Xenopus tropicalis: one gene and its partners. The protein of the gene in region 3 interacts with the protein of the main gene of each other region in a biochemical or structural test. Links are inferred from orthologs where the notes say so. Each region holds a gene or a part of one and is shown on either strand. Other genes may lie near its edges. The genes, in order: rpa2, creb1 and atm.

Region 1 (4,483 bases), about 80 Mb from region 3:
TTACTTCTAATTCCCAGGTTTATGCTTGGGAATGGTCAGTATACAAAAGCTGGAAAATGTTACTATACTGTGCATGCTCAAGCGCAAGCCTATGCAAGGGATCCCTGGCAATAGGTAAGATGGCAAGACAGTGCTTCTTTAGAAACCTCCCAAGTCTGATGCCTTAAGAAAAAACAAGATTTGATTCAAAGGTGATGCCTAACATTTTTGCATCCTCTGGTTAATAAGCTTTTCCTTGTTTTCACAAAAAATTCACACAACTTTACATCCAGGTTGTTTAAAGTGATACGGATACCAAAAAATTTCTTACTTCCAAACCTATCTATAGGTCATGCTGTTTTTTCCTAAAACTCCTGTTTCTCTACATAAATCCTCCTGAAGATCCTGAAACAGACTGTCTGGCAACCAGACTGTAGCTTCTCAATCTGTCAAAAGGACTACGTCATAAACTGGGTGGATTCACCTTGCCGTTTGCTTCAAAGAGTTCCCCCTCCCTCCTCACACTGTGAACTAGATAGCAAGCAGGCTTGATCTTTCCATTGCCTGCCTGCGTCGCACGAAGAATTTAAATAGCTTTCCCGTACCTGCCTGCCTGCTTCTAAGGGCTCTCTCTTCCTCCCCCTCCCCATTACACATAGACAACGAAGCTGAGCTTGTCACACACCGGCTGAAAGCAGAAGGGGCATTGCAGGTTTGTGATTGGGCATATTTATTCACTTGGAAGGCATTTAAATTAAAACCCGGAAGAGGGGAACAAACATGGGTCTGTACTTCGTGCTACCATAATTATGAAGCGAAAAAACTACGCAGATTTAGTTTATAAGGAATTTGAAGCTGATACAAGTTAAAAGACAACAGCAGGTGTAAAAAATAAAAAAAATTCATTGGCTGTCAGTATCACTTTAAGAAACAAAGACTAAATGGATTTATTCCTGCGTAAATTAAAATCCTACATAAATACATCCATACTAGACATCTAGACATGACTAGTTTTGTGAGGATTGCATACCTAATTGTGTTTACATTCATTCCATGAAGTCTATTTTTCAGTTCTTCAAAAGCCATGCCTTCGTTTCCTTTGAAGCTTTTGATCAAATTAAGAATCTGCAATAACACAAAAATACAAATGTTAGGGAAATTTTGTTTGCAGTGCAATTTGCTGAAGCAACGCTTTTTATTTCTCTCTTTTATAAGGTAAATCCATAATTTTTTGTTGCTCTAGTATCCACAGCTTCTATAGGACCATGACAAACTACTCACTATTCTTTTTTTGGACACCGACTTCTTTTCAGTTACCTGGCTCTGATGTGGCGTCAGCCCATTTGTCGCATTGTCATTTCCACCTGAGAATGCTCCACCACTGTCACCAAGGCGTCCAGGTGTATTGAGTGCCACCGCTGATCCGCCTCCTGAAGGCTGTAAAAAGGAGTTTGTTTGAATCTGAATTGAAAGTCACAAGAATTTCTCAAAGAAATGAAGTGCCAACATATCCAGGTTCCAAAAATTCAAGAATAATATTTAAAAGTGTGACATTTATAACACAAATATTGAAGGGGAAACTATACCTTAAAATTGCAGGTCTCTTAAAATATATTGCATAATAGAGCCCATACTTTTTGCTTCATCTAAAAAAAACATTTCCATAAAAATATACTTTTCTAGTAATGTGTGCCTCTGAATAATCCTGAATAGAAAAATTACTAAAGGCCACCCCCGGCTCAGACACAAACATGCAAGTTAGATCTCTGAGGGAGCACACAGACCATCACAAAACAGTGGTTCAAGGGACAAGATGTAAAAGGGCAGGATTTACTGATATATATTCATCTAGCAAGATCCTTTAATGGTCACTAATTATGATTTAAATTATCTGTTTAATAATTAAAGGTACAGTTTTTCTATCGGAGTATTTCTCTTGCAGTAACATAGTAGCCATTGGTGTAACTAACTATAAATCTATACTGTAATTTTCATAATTATGTTAATCATATGTAGCACATAACACACCTCCATGATAAATAATCACTTCACAGTGCTGTGAGCCATTTAAACAAGCTTTTATAATTTACAGAAAAGCTTATAAAAGGAGAAGGAAAGGCTAATAAAGAGTTAATCCCAAGCTGCAGGCATACCTTCAGTTGTCTCAATAGTGCCCTTAAAGGAACAGTAACACAAATATTTCAGTTTTAATAAATATATGCCTTCTAAATACTATTATTAAGATATGTATCTTGGAAAAATTGCAGCATCATAAGTGGTTTTTGAATAATTTATATTACAACTGATTTACTGGGCAAACCTTCAAAAGGCGATACGGCGACTCCTTGGCTTCCGTGCTAATCCGGAAGTTATCTTGCCGCATTCTTTAGAGTCTTCGGGGTCATTTTTTGGAGTGATTTATGGTTTTGTTGGGGATTGTGTAGGGAGAGGGATGGGGGACGGAGCGTTTCTACTTGACAGCTAAGACTGCCTGCCTGTAACAACGGATCGCTATGTAAGCCTGCACAGGGAGGGGGAGGAGGGGTGTGCTGCCCGGAAGCTTGCTACGAGAGTTGGAGGAGATCTGCTGCCTGAGTTCAATAAATTAATGGAAAGGTTAATTTTCAAGAAAACCACTTATACTTTTGTAATTTTTCCATGATATATTTTCTAATAAAAGTATTTTAAAAAGATATTTTGAATTTTAAAAAATTGTGTTACAGTTCCTTTAAGTTTCCCCATATTTCACCTGTTCAGAAGATCTGAAGCCAAACCGGAAGAAAAAACGCTGAGCTGTGTAAAAAAGATTCCCATAATGGCTCACTCCTGCCCAGACATGCAGAACAAACTGTACATGCTCAGTTAGTTAGACTTAGACTAACTTAGTAAGTTAGCGTCCTGCTGATTGGCTCATATCCACATTCCTAAGGGGGGGGAGTGAGTTCTTAGCATTCTTGAGGGAGGGGGAGCAGGAAAGAGCAGAGAACAGAAAGCTGCGTGTCTCTGGCACAGGAATTACAGACACAACTAATCTTTTTTCAGAGAAGTGTATTTACATAGACCTTTCTGTTAAAGCTTACTTAGTTTTTACCTTTCTTTGATTTTACCAGAGAACCAGCAAATTATAAACAAAAATAAAAGATGACTAGAAATTACAAGTATGCTTCCCTGATCATTACTTTGAATTCTGCCTATTAACCAGCTGTTTAAGAGCAGGGTAAAGAGTTAATTTTAACTTACCGCTCCCTGGGAATTCATGGTCATGTGAGCGTGAACAACTTCCAGCATATGAGAAACAAACTCGTTCATATCATCAACAGGAGCAATCTTAAATGCAACAACACTTTTCTTGTTCTGGAAGGATATACAAATTTTAAATACTCAGTGACATTTTCCAGTCCTCCATTTTCTTTTTTGGCTAAATATAAATTTTATTCTCTGCTCTGCCTTGCTACAGTATTTTCACTAGGACAGCTAGTGCTTTCATGAAGAAAATTTTCTAACAAAAATAATGTTGTTCCAGAAGTAAAAGCTTCATTAAAATAATTACCTGGAAGGAACGAAGGTGACCAGCTACTTTTACATAACTCCCTGGAGGGACCACCATATTTTCACAGCTTGCCTCCTGCAAAGAAAATGATTGGGACTTTGCACATTTTACAGTGGTAAAACTAGAAGCAGTTATATAATTGTCCATGGTTTAAATATAAAGAAATCTAGTTGAAACAGGACAGTAATATCTTACATCTGTGTCCACCCACTGTCTGACATCCATTGGTGCTGCAGTCATATCATCCACTTTGTAAAGAATATTTGTCGGAGCTTTTTCTGCATGCCTGACAATGCCGACTATAGTAACCTAAAAAAAAAAAAAAGAAGAAAAACATACTTTCATAAAAAAAATATTAGCATAGGCATATCTATTTCAAGAGATATGGTGCACATTACATTACTTGTTGGTTCCTCTTTGAACAACAACAAAGTATTTCAAGTTCACATTCCACCAAGGGTATATAGGCACCTAAATGCACAATCTTCCCAATAGCCGACTAGTAAAAAGGTATTTATTGGATCACTATTCTTCTTTCAAGCGAAATAATATTAAGGGGTTATGCATAACAGGACCATATATTAAAGGGGAACTATACCTATACAACTATTCAACACACAACACATGGATAATTCCTTATAAAGCACCTCAACTCATATGATACACTGGGGGTCACACAAAAAAACAGTGGCATGCACGTGTTCTAAGTCACATCAGTCAATGAAGGGGAAGAGCTGTGTCTTTTACCAAAACACCTCTTCCTGTTATAGTTAGAACCTGCATTATCTGTTCTCTGAGGTAGCACAAAGACCACTGCAAAACAGTGGCTCGAGTGAGATGTAAAAAGAAATACAGGCATAGGACCAGTTATTCAGAAAGTTTCGAATTATCGAAAGGCCATCTCCCATAGACTTCCTTTTAAGGAAATAATTCACATTTTAAAAAAACTTTTTT
Region 2 (5,576 bases), on a different chromosome or scaffold from region 3:
ATTGCAGGCAAAAACATACTGGAAACATGCCAATTAAAGAAAAGCAGGTAAACTTGGACCATAACTGAAGGGTAAGGCAATAAGATGTTTAAATCAAGGCCAAGGTCAGAAGCAGGCAGAGAGGAAAACTAGTGAAGCAAATAGTGTTGCTGATTGCAACAATATACATAATAACAGAACAAAGCAACAAATAAAAGCCTAGGCAATAGAAGAGTATAAAAAAGATCATTTATAGCAACAGATTTTTTTTTCAAGTTATTTATTTTTCATGTTACAAACAAACAATAACATAACACACAGAATTATTCAAAGGCATTCCAGGTGGTACTGAAGCACGTTGAAGTGTATCTTCCATCACAAGGTAAGTAAGCAAGTAAGAGAGACAGTCAGGTAAATATATCAGTCATATTGTAACTGTTGCACCTGTAACATTAGAGACCTTAAGGTAAGTGAAGCGAATCCAGGTGGGGGTCCCTCCTGTGAGGTGGATCATCTAGTAAGTCTAGTGCTGGATTGGAATCCAACAGGGAGATCCAAATGGATTCAAATTTTAGTGGAGAGCCTCTGGCAAGCTATGCCAGTTTTATAAGTGGAACCCTTTAATTAAAGAGAGCCACCCAATCAGACAATTGGGGGGAAAGTTTGGGGCCTCATCCATTTCATGATTATTTTTTGGCATAGAACAGAGTTGTACTCAGCAACACATGCTTTTACATGATGCAGCGTTTATGGTCATATAAATGCAACCTGGTGGGCACCTACGGGTGGGCAAAATCGGGAGAATCCAGGGTAATTCGATTATAATGGAGGGTATAGGAAAAGTCGGTCCAGGGACCGCATCAACGAGCCGACTAGATTTTCTAACCTGCCCAATCGAGATCTGCCCGATTTCAGGCCAGATATCGGTAGGGCAGGCCCGTTGGGAGTATCCATACACGGGCCGATTAGCTGCCGAATCGGTCCAAGGGACTTTAAGGTAGCACTGGAAGTCAGCTTTAAGACCAAAATTTTTGTTTAGAATCAATCATGCACCACTCTAACGCCTATTACTCTGTACTAAAGGGGATCACAAGTGGGAAGATATTTTTGGATCTCAATCCATTCTTAATACTTAAAGGAACAGTAACACCAGAATATGAAAGTGTTTTAAAGTAATTAAAATGTAATGTACTGTTGCCCTGCACTGGTAAAACTGGTGTATTTGCTACAGAACGCTCCTATAGTCTATATATAAATAAGCTGCTGTGTAGCCATGGGGGCAGCCATTCAAGCTGGAAAAAAGGAGAAAAGGCACAGGTTACATAGCAGATAACAAATAAACTCTATAGAATACAATCACATTTTATCTGTTATCTGCTAAGTAACCTGTGCCTTTTCTCATTCGAATGGCTGCCCCCATGGCTACACAGCAGCTTTGCTTATATAAACTATAATAGTCTTTCTGAGGCAAACACACCAGTTATACCAGTGCAGGGCAACAGTGCATTATATTGTAATTACTTTAATATGCTTTCATATTTTGATGTTACTGTTCCTTTAAAGTTGGCCATACATGGCAAGGTCACTAAACGGGCAAATCTTTCACCCGATATGCCTACCTTGGGTGGGTGATATCGTGCCCCATCACATTGCAATGAAGGGGATAGGAAAAGCCAGATCAAGGACCACATCAATAAGCCAATGCAGTCCCCGATCCTGCAAAAAATCAAGCACGTACAATCAACATCTGGATCATTTTTGGCCAGATATCTGTTGGGGGGGTTCTGTCGGAGGGTCCCATGCAGGGGCAAATAAGCTGCAGAGTCGGTCTTAAGGAACAGAATTAGCATCTGAAATCTGGCCCCGTATGGCAACCTTAAGTTGCAATGGAAAAATAGTTACACCAGCACACCCTTACCTCCTCCAACAGGTTAGCTACTTGGTGCACGGCCCAGAGAGTCCGCACTCTCCGCAAAGTCCAGTAAAAATGATTTCAGCCGGCACAACAAGTAAAGTGCAAGTGGGGTATAACCCCTGCGTGTTTATTCAAGGCAACGTTTCGGGGGCGAACCCCTTCATCAGGCCACCTAATACTCAAGGTGGCAAGTACACTATAGCGTCATAAGCACTTCATGAAACAGCTCCGATTTAAAAAGAAGAAGGGCGACAGGGTAACGTTATCTGTTCTAGAATCGTAATAAAACTATCAGACTAACCTGTAAAACATGAAAACTAAACTGATAGCTTTAATCACAACAACGGCACTGTTCATTCAGCCAAAGCAGCCAAAGCACAGGTAAGGTCGCCGCGGGTAACCAAAGCCCGTTTCTCATAATTCCCACACTCACCAACCTTAACTGCCTGTTAGCTCTGTAGCTTTACTGCAGCCTGTGCAAGTTGTCGCATCAGTAGATACACGGGTTTCCGCTTACAGTGTCGGAAAGGGGTATTGGGAACTGTAGTACAACTGCAGCAGAAAGGTTTTACTAAGGCCTAACTTCTGCGCCTGCCCAGATTCCACCCTGCGCTAGCTCCGCCCCGCCCTCTGCTGTTGGCTGCCTAGTCTGTCGAGGCCTTCCTCAGTGTCCTGTCGGAAAAGAGCCCGCCGCCCTGACGCCGCGCCCGGGCCTGAGCTTAAGAAAAAAAAAAACTAGCGCCACCACAAGAGGAAGAAGAGAGAGCAAGAGCAGCAGTGACGCGGCGGAGGTGTAGTTTGACGCGGTGTGTTACGTGGTGGGGAAGAGAATAAAAAAAAGCCCAGCGAGATCCCAGCCGCGAACGAAAGCAGTGACGGAGGAGAGGCAGTGTAACCCGGTAAGAGGAAGGAGGAGGAGAGGGAGAGGCATGGAGGAAAAGAGATGGAGCAGGCCTCACCGCCGGCTGCTTTCACAAATACCCAGGCGGCAACTGATTGTAGGGAGGGATTTCTGGGGGCTGCCAAGAACAGCGCGCCGGCTTTTCCTTCGAGCTTGCTTTCCCGCCTGTCATGGTTCCCCTTTTTACCCCCTTAGATAATACAGAATGTTTACCCCGCCATAGTAAAAATGGAGACCGTGCGGAGGGGGTGAAATAAAGAGCCGCGAAACAAAGGATAATGGCGGCCGGGAGGAGGCAGCCGGCGGCGGCAAGAGCTGGGGTGTGCGATACAGCCACAGGGGGTCACCGGTGGGGAGACCTCCGCAATCTTTCACTGTCGCGACAGTCAACGGTGCTTATCACGACACATATATATATATATATATATTATATATGTGTGTATGTATATATATATTTTTTTTTGTGGCTTGTTAGATACATGCGACTAGTATCGTTCATGTTTTCCCGCAATATAGTCTTCATTCAAAGGGGAATATTCATGATGCGATGAACGAATTCTTCTTTTCCTCCCATATTTTTTAACACTACTTTTTAAAGTTAAATTTCTTTTTAAAGTTTAACGTGACTCTTAGGTTATTATTTATAAACAATGCTCCTACCTGCGGCACTCCAGCCGGGGTCGAACTAAAGGTCCTGTCAGGATGAGCTGAGGGCTGCATATTAGTAGCTGAAGGGCCGCAGGTTGGACTTGAGTGGCTCGCTAGTTGGTACAGAGGGAAAGCAGGCAGGTCTTTTTGCTGAGCATGACTTCATTTCGAATTGTTAGTGGGTTCCTGAAATATCTGATCGTCAGGGTTCACCAACTGTCTGCTCTTCTGGCAGCAATGGGTAGATATTTTTATTTTTTTACTGTATATTCTTACCCCAGCTCCCGGGCATCCTTCTAGTCATGGTTTAATAGTTGTCCACTGGTTGGGTAACAGCAGCATCAAGGGTCAGTGTAGACTGGTGAGGGTGAGCTCTTTGACCAAGATTACCAGAGGGAGGTTCCACTAATCCTGCTTTTAAAGCTTCATATTTATGTGACCCTTGTTCTGCAGTTTTTTTTATCCTGTGTTGAATGTTTGAAGCTCTAAAAACAGAATTGGCCCCAATGTCTCTCTGGCAGTCTGTGTATGTATTTTGACACATTTTTCATGAAGAAATGAAGATTGTAACATTTCAGAGATTTCCATGTTTCATCCAAGACTGGTACGGTTTTCTTGTCCATATATTTTGTTGCACTGCAATCCCTTATTGAACTTCCACATTATTTCCCTCATGCTTGCTCATTACTTTTTGTTTGATGAAAACATCTGGACAGTGAGAATAAAATTTGTTTATAATAGATCTTTACATTTTGTTTTATTTAGTATTGTCTACTTAATGCAGATCTGCATTTAAAGTATGTCAGGTATGATTAGACTTCAAAAGTATGAAATCTACATCACCTTAGTAATTGCAGGGAAGCATTAAAGCACAACTTTTGTGGTACTCAAACATTCTGCCAAGTAGAGGGCTAAGGACCCCAGGTTCTAGAAAGCTGTAATTTGTATTGGTCAATTTAGAGACCCAAGTTCTAGCTTGTCCGTTTGGGGCTAATATGTGAATACCCAAAGCACTCATTTACACACAATTAAACTTGCTAAAACTTCATTGCTGGTACCCTATAACATGGCTTCAGGGGGGTTGGTACATATTAGTGTGCTCGTTAATTCTAACATTTATAAGTGACCTGATATCGCTTAAATATTAATTGATTTAATTTGAATGCAGACAAACATAGTTTGGCTTTATTTGTGATATTTTAATTTAAGGCTTAAATATTTCAGTAATTAGAATACTGTTTTATATTCTTGGTTAATGGCAAACAGTTATAGACTTCTTTAGAGATGTTTTTAAACACCAAGTAAACTTTACAGTGCATATAGATGGATTTCAAAGGGTTCCCCCCCATAAGAATGCTGTTTTTCCCTTGAAATGCAATAAAGTTAAAAACAAAAATGCTTGCATTTTATTTTTTGTATTTGTGTTTTGCTTATTCAGTCACTTCCTGTTAGGCGGGATAGGTTGTTTTTTTTTCCCAACACTTTGAACATTCTCCTGTAAGTCTGCCTTTTCAAAGCCCCTTTCCAGAAACCCCAAATAAGCTGCATGCGTATTTTTTTTTTTTTTTTCGTTATACTCTAGTTATTGAACACTTTCATAAATAGGCAGAGATCATCATACACTTAAGCTCTGAGGTATATTTCAAAGTTGTTTTCATTTTAATAATACATTAGATGAAAACTTTCTTTTTATGCAAGGGCTTTGCAGGTTTTCATTTTGATTACTAAAAGGAAAACAAAACTGATAGAAACACTATGAGGGTGACACATACCTCTCCCATCCTAGTATAATAATGCTGTTAAAAACCTGTAGCTGTGGCCTTTTATTATAGTACATAATAATAGAGAAATGTCTTGTATGGCAAATTCTAGTATATACCTTTGGCATATTTTGCTGAGTGAATCCCAGTCTGTCCATAAGATAAAATAAATCTAAATAGCAGGAAATAAATATTGTATAATGAGACGCTTCCCTGTCTTAAGGCCTGTGATATGTCATATATATAAGTGTGCAAAAGTAGCACAGAAATGTTGAGCTGCTTTTCACACAGCACATTGCCGTATAGAAGTAAAGCGTATTTATTTTGCTGTGGACGGTCTGCAAATCTGCATAAATAGAACAGAAAACAGTGC
Region 3 (5,476 bases):
TGCTGCACTTTGGCTACCCTTTCCACTGCACCGTGACTACTCTTTCTGCTGCACAGTGGCTACCCTTTCTGCTGCACCGTGACTACTCTTTCTGCTGCACAGTGGCTACCCTTTCCACTGCACCGTGACTACTCTTTCTGCTGCTCAGTGGCTACCCTTTCCGCTGCACCGTGACTACTCTTTCTGCTGCACAGTGGCTACCCTTTCCACTGCACCGTGACTACTCTTTCTGCTGCAAAGTGGCTACCCTTTCCGCTGCACCGTGACTACTCTTTCTGCTGCACAGTGGCTACCCTTTCCGCTGCACCGTGACTACTCTTTCTGCTGCACAGTGGCTACCCTTTCCGCTGTCACGTGGCTACTTTTTCTGCTGCAAAATGGCTACCCTTTCATCTGCACCGTGGCTACCCTTTCTGCTAAATTTACTGGGGGTGTCTAATATATGGGCAGCATTCAGTGAATTTAGCTTTCCTTATCCTTTAAGTTCCATAACATTGTTTTTTGTACACTTGAGACCAGAGGGCTCATTTACAACACACAGAGAAAGGGGGAGAGGGCAGAAAAGCAGAAAAAGTGTTAATTACAAGACGGAGCTGCTATCTCGCTCCCTTCCCATTGTTCTGCTGATCGGCTGCTGGGAGGAGGGTGATATCACTCCAACTTGCAGCTCAGCAGTAAAGTGTGACTGAAGTTTATCAGAGTACATATAAAAAAATCTGTGTTTTTAAGGGCTCTGGCACACGAGGAGATTTGTCGCCGGCGATTTTTAAAAGAGCGATTTGGCGACAAGACGAGCGACAAGACGCCAATGGAAATCGCCAGCGTCAAAACATACGAGGCTACTTCAAATCGCCTGCTGTTTCAAATCGCACACAGACCCTTTTCTGAGCGACTTAAGTAAACATGAGGGGGGGGTTAACTGTTGAGTGTACCATGGGTAGCAGATCGCCTGGAGCTCAACTCGCATGAAATCTCTTCGTGGGTATTGTCGTGGCGACTTGTCGCCAAAGCGCCAGGAGGAAAAACGCAGGCGACAAATCTCCTTGTGTGCCAGAGCCCTAAAAAAACGGATTTCAATGCAGGATTCTGCTAGAGAAGCTCTATTAACTGATTCCAGGGCTCTGATGAGCTATATCCTATTGGAAATTGGCCACAGGTAGTTTCTAGCTCTGTTTACTGCAAGGTTATATACAGCCAAAAATGCAATTATGTGCAATGTGCCACACCCTAGTGATACCTAAAAACTAAATAACATTTACTTAACTTATCTCACAGCTGAACAGCTGTGATTACACTGAAGGCAGCACTGGTCAGGGTCTGTGCAAAAAGAAAGAATATAGGGTTCTATATGGCTGCACCCTAAATCTGAAGGTAATTTTTTGGTGATAGAGGAGAAAAGTCCCAGCAGCAAATTCTCACAACAAAACTTTAAATTTTGAAACATATCTTTAAAATACAATTCGACCTTTAGCTTCTTCTTAAAACTCTTTAAGCACCTGGATGGTTTGGCAGCAGCTCCTGAAAAAATCTTCCAGAAATCTGTGTCAGCCGGTATTAGACCTCCTTGTAAGATGGAGCCCAGTAAGGCAAAACTTTCCTCTTCTGTTTGGGGAGAACTGATGCTACGCAACGTAACAGCCCAGATTTTAGACCACAGTTTGTACAGATCTGATTTTGGTGTGATCTTCACATCTGTTTTTTGCTTTTGACAAACGGCAACCTCTTTTAGGCAGCGAAGCACATAAGCGGCCCTCTCGCCTCGTCTCTGCTGGGCAAGTAACTGGTGTAGAACCGTCAGTAATGGAGTCAGCTCATTGCTAGGCAGGCTCACTGGGTATCGGGCAATCAAGCAGGTTGCAATTTGTAACCTAGAAACGTTGAATACAGAAACTGTCAAATAACAAAATGACCACAACTGCCAAAATCCAAGTAACTTTATTCATTTTTCTCTCTATATGATCACTTAGGACCTGGGTGCATAAAGGCAAGGGCTACTTCTGGCACTGCCTAGTAGGAAACTTAGCCAAAACCGATAGGGGTGGCATACCATACCCCCCTTGGGCATTGTGATACTTAAGTAAAAGCAGTAGGAAAATCCCAGCTCTTGTATAGGAAATCAGAATCCAAGTGCTGTTTCAACAGTAGATAATCCTTGGTGGTCCACTACTGAACCACTATTGAACCAATAGGAAAGAGCAGATGTCAGCATATTATAACTTCTGTCTGCAGGAAAATAATTTTCAGTTACCTAATAATCTTCTCTGGACAAAAGTAATTGTATTTATAATATGCTGAGATCTCATCTAATTTGTAAATATTTATTTTATTATGCTTCACAAATAGTGTATAAATTTATATATTGAGTGGGGCCACCCTGAAGTGCTTTTGGAGTTGTTTTTAGGACTGAGATATTAGTTAGTGCTATGTGCCTATGGATTCTCATACTATTGTGAGAGCACCCATCTTGACCACATGCATTTTTCTGCTTAGAACAGCCAATTCTTAGCAACTTTTCAACTGGTCTTTTTGGTTTCTTTATTTTTTTTTATAGTTTAATTATTTGCCTCCTTCTTCTTTCAAGCTTCCAAATAGGAGTCACCAAATAGGGGGTCCATGAACTATAGCTCTGCCAAGCTACAATTTTATTATTAATCATTTTTATTATTTATCTTTTTATTCAAACTTCAAAGCTCCTATTCATAATATAGTCTCTAATTCAAACCACTGCCTGGTTGCTAGGGTAATATGCATCCTAGCAACCAGATAGCTGCTTTAATTTAAATCTGGAGATTTGCTGAACAAAAAGCTGAATAATTCAAAAACCACAAATGATAAAACATGAAGTTCATATTACCAAGGGATGATATCAAAATCTTTATGGGACTTCTGAAGGTTGTCACGTAGCACTTCCCACCCAAGTTCAATCCTTCTGCGCTTGCTGGGGGCTCCAGATGGTTCCCTTTGGGTCACTAGGAAAGCAGCCTGTGTGATATCCAGCACCTGAGTGTCTTCAGTGAATAGCTGGACAAAGAGAAACTGGGTTGTTATTGGCTGGAAGGACTGATCTTTTCACTATAAAGCAGATGTGGACATTGAACGGGCTATGGTAGGTAGATGGTATTAATGTCTATAAGCAATAACCTTTTCCACAATGCTCTATGAAAATGGAAAAGATAAAAACCAGTTCAACAGAGACCAAGACAAGAGGTCAGAATTTATTCGTTTTCCTAAAATGTGGTGCTGTCCTCCTTGGTGGACCAGAATTTACTGGTACCAACAGCAACATATTTTTAAAGCTCAATTAAATTAATATATATTGCTCAGAAGTTTCTGGCAGAAAACAAAAAATTTACCTGATGACAAATGTCAGCCATCAACTCAATCAAGTTTTCCTTGGCTGCAATGTTTCGGGAGCCTGAGGAATATTTCCCTCTGCTGCCTATCTGGCTGATCTCATTTACCAGTGTGTCATATAAGTTGTACAAGTTCCTTTTCCATCTGTCTGGATCAAAAGCGTAAGCACCTGGGTAAAAATAAAATCATTAAAAACATTAATAAAGCAAATTCCATATGTCTTTATCAGAGCTTTCCAGCGACGTTTCAGCACTTCACCCTTCCCATATTAAAGTGGTTGCTGTTTACTCTTGAGTTAGATTTTAGTATATTGTAGACAGTTATTTTGAGACAATTTGCAACTGATGATCATTTTCTATTAATTTGAGGTTTTGAATTATCTCTTTGGAATTTTAGCACTTATTTGGTTGCTAGGATTCAAATTACTTTAGCGACCAGTAAGTACGAATGAATGAATGAGAGACCTAAATAAAAAAATAAGTAATAAAAAGTAAAAATACCAATAAAATTGTAGCCTCACAGAGCAATAGTTTTTGTGGAAAAGATTTTGTTCGATCTACTCTGTAAATGTTTGGGTTCTTAAGGGGTCTTAAAGTATAAAAAGAGTAAATGTACTTGTAATGTACTCAGAACTACCCCTTATACAATTCTAGAAGCAGCAAGCATATCACAAATCTCAGGGGATTCAACAACCACGCATTGCATGGAAAGTTAAATGTGAGGAATTAGAAGCTGCACCTTCATCTACAGTCTTGGCTCCTTTTGGATGATGAATTCGAAGAAGTAACCTGAAGAACTCCACAATCTCCTCCTTCAGTGCATCTTTAGGCCTTTGAATTGTCCAGATCCGCAATACAGTGAGGAACAAGTCCTCCCCCAGCCTGCACACTCGCATCCGGCAATTCCCTGAGGCGCTGGTAAGGAACACATTCAGAGCAGAGAGGATCTGATCCAGACCAGGTGGGTTTCTCTCATCCCTGGCAAACAAAGCAACACCAAAACATTACCATACTTTAGAGAAGGAACCAGTCAAACATCTATTTCTTTTCAATGATTTTTATTTGCATTTTAACTTTTACAGGTTGGATATCAATATAATGTCATTTTGTATTGAACAATCTATTTCCTTAAAGAGAGAAGAGAGAAAAGAGAGAAGAAGGAAGAGAGAAGTGGTAGTCAAACATCTATTTCTACTACTGTTTAAAGGAACAGTAACACCAAAAAATGTATATATTTTAAAGAAATTAAACTATAATGTACTGCTGCCCTGCACTGGTAAAGTTGTGCGTTTGCTTCAGAAACATTACTAGAGTTTATATAAACCCTGGTGTGTAGCCATGGGGGCAGCCATTCAAAAGAAGAAAAGGCACAGGTTATATAGCAGCTAACAGATAAACCCTGTAGAATACAATGGTGTCTTATCTGTTATCTGCTATGTAACCTGTGCCTTTTCTCCTTTTTTCCAGGTTGAATGGCTGCCCCCATGGCTACACAGCAGCGTATTTATATAAACTATAGTAGTGTTCCTGAAGCAAACACCCTAGTTTTACCATTGCAGGGCAACAGTACATTTTATTTCAATTACTTTAGAACACTTTCATTTTTTGGTGTTACTGTTCCTTTAAGGAAACTAGCACATACTAGTACCCAATAATGATGTACTAAAGTCTCCCTAGTGTCCAACATATTTTTGTAAGAGAAGGTTTGTCTGTTTGCCCTCCACTGAATCAATTTTTGTTAGTTTTTTTCATGCTACCTAACCAGTCATAATATATTTACGAGCTATCTTTGTAACCTATATCAGCACAACTCTAGAAAGAAATTATTGGTGAATCCTGTGATTAACTACCGATGTTGGAGTCAGGTTGTTGTTCACCCAAAATGTGCAGAAACATGTAAAAAATATACTAAAATATATGCTGTTTAGGACAAGGAACATGGGAAATTTTGGCAAAACATATGCATCACCGCTTTATAAAGTTGGTTGAAGTCGCTTCTCAAAAAAACTAGGGGCTACGGATAAACATCCTGTGTGCAATTGCCAAAATCATTCAGTACACCCAATTTGCAATTTAGTCAGGATTAGTTTGTATTAATAATGAATGATTGTAGTTGCATTACT

Evidence for each region.
Region 1: of the proteins of atm (region 3) and rpa2, one has a biochemical effect on the other in vitro, tested with the Homo sapiens proteins (3 studies listed by BioGRID). The link is inferred for Xenopus tropicalis from reciprocal best matches to the Homo sapiens genes ATM and RPA2.
Region 2: of the proteins of atm (region 3) and creb1, one has a biochemical effect on the other in vitro, tested with the Homo sapiens proteins (2 studies listed by BioGRID). The link is inferred for Xenopus tropicalis from reciprocal best matches to the Homo sapiens genes ATM and CREB1.

What each region holds. Positions count from the first base shown.
Region 1 is NC_030678.2:79,458,582-79,463,064, reverse strand, and holds part of rpa2 (replication protein A 32 kDa subunit), read right to left. Parts: intron 3,839-4,483; coding exon 3,725-3,838; intron 3,605-3,724; coding exon 3,530-3,604; intron 3,334-3,529; coding exon 3,220-3,333; intron 1,417-3,219; coding exon 1,297-1,416; intron 1,105-1,296; coding exon 1,010-1,104; intron 1-1,009. UniProt on the Homo sapiens protein: As part of the heterotrimeric replication protein A complex (RPA/RP-A), binds and stabilizes single-stranded DNA intermediates that form during DNA replication or upon DNA stress.
Region 2 is NC_030685.2:49,782,964-49,788,539, reverse strand, and holds the start of creb1 (cyclic AMP-responsive element-binding protein 1), read left to right. Parts: upstream 1-2,659; 5' UTR 2,660-2,793; intron 2,794-5,576.
Region 3 is NC_030678.2:159,880,725-159,886,200, forward strand, and holds part of atm (serine-protein kinase ATM), read right to left. Parts: intron 4,332-5,476; coding exon 4,093-4,331; intron 3,524-4,092; coding exon 3,354-3,523; intron 3,022-3,353; coding exon 2,855-3,021; intron 1,869-2,854; coding exon 1,497-1,868; intron 1-1,496.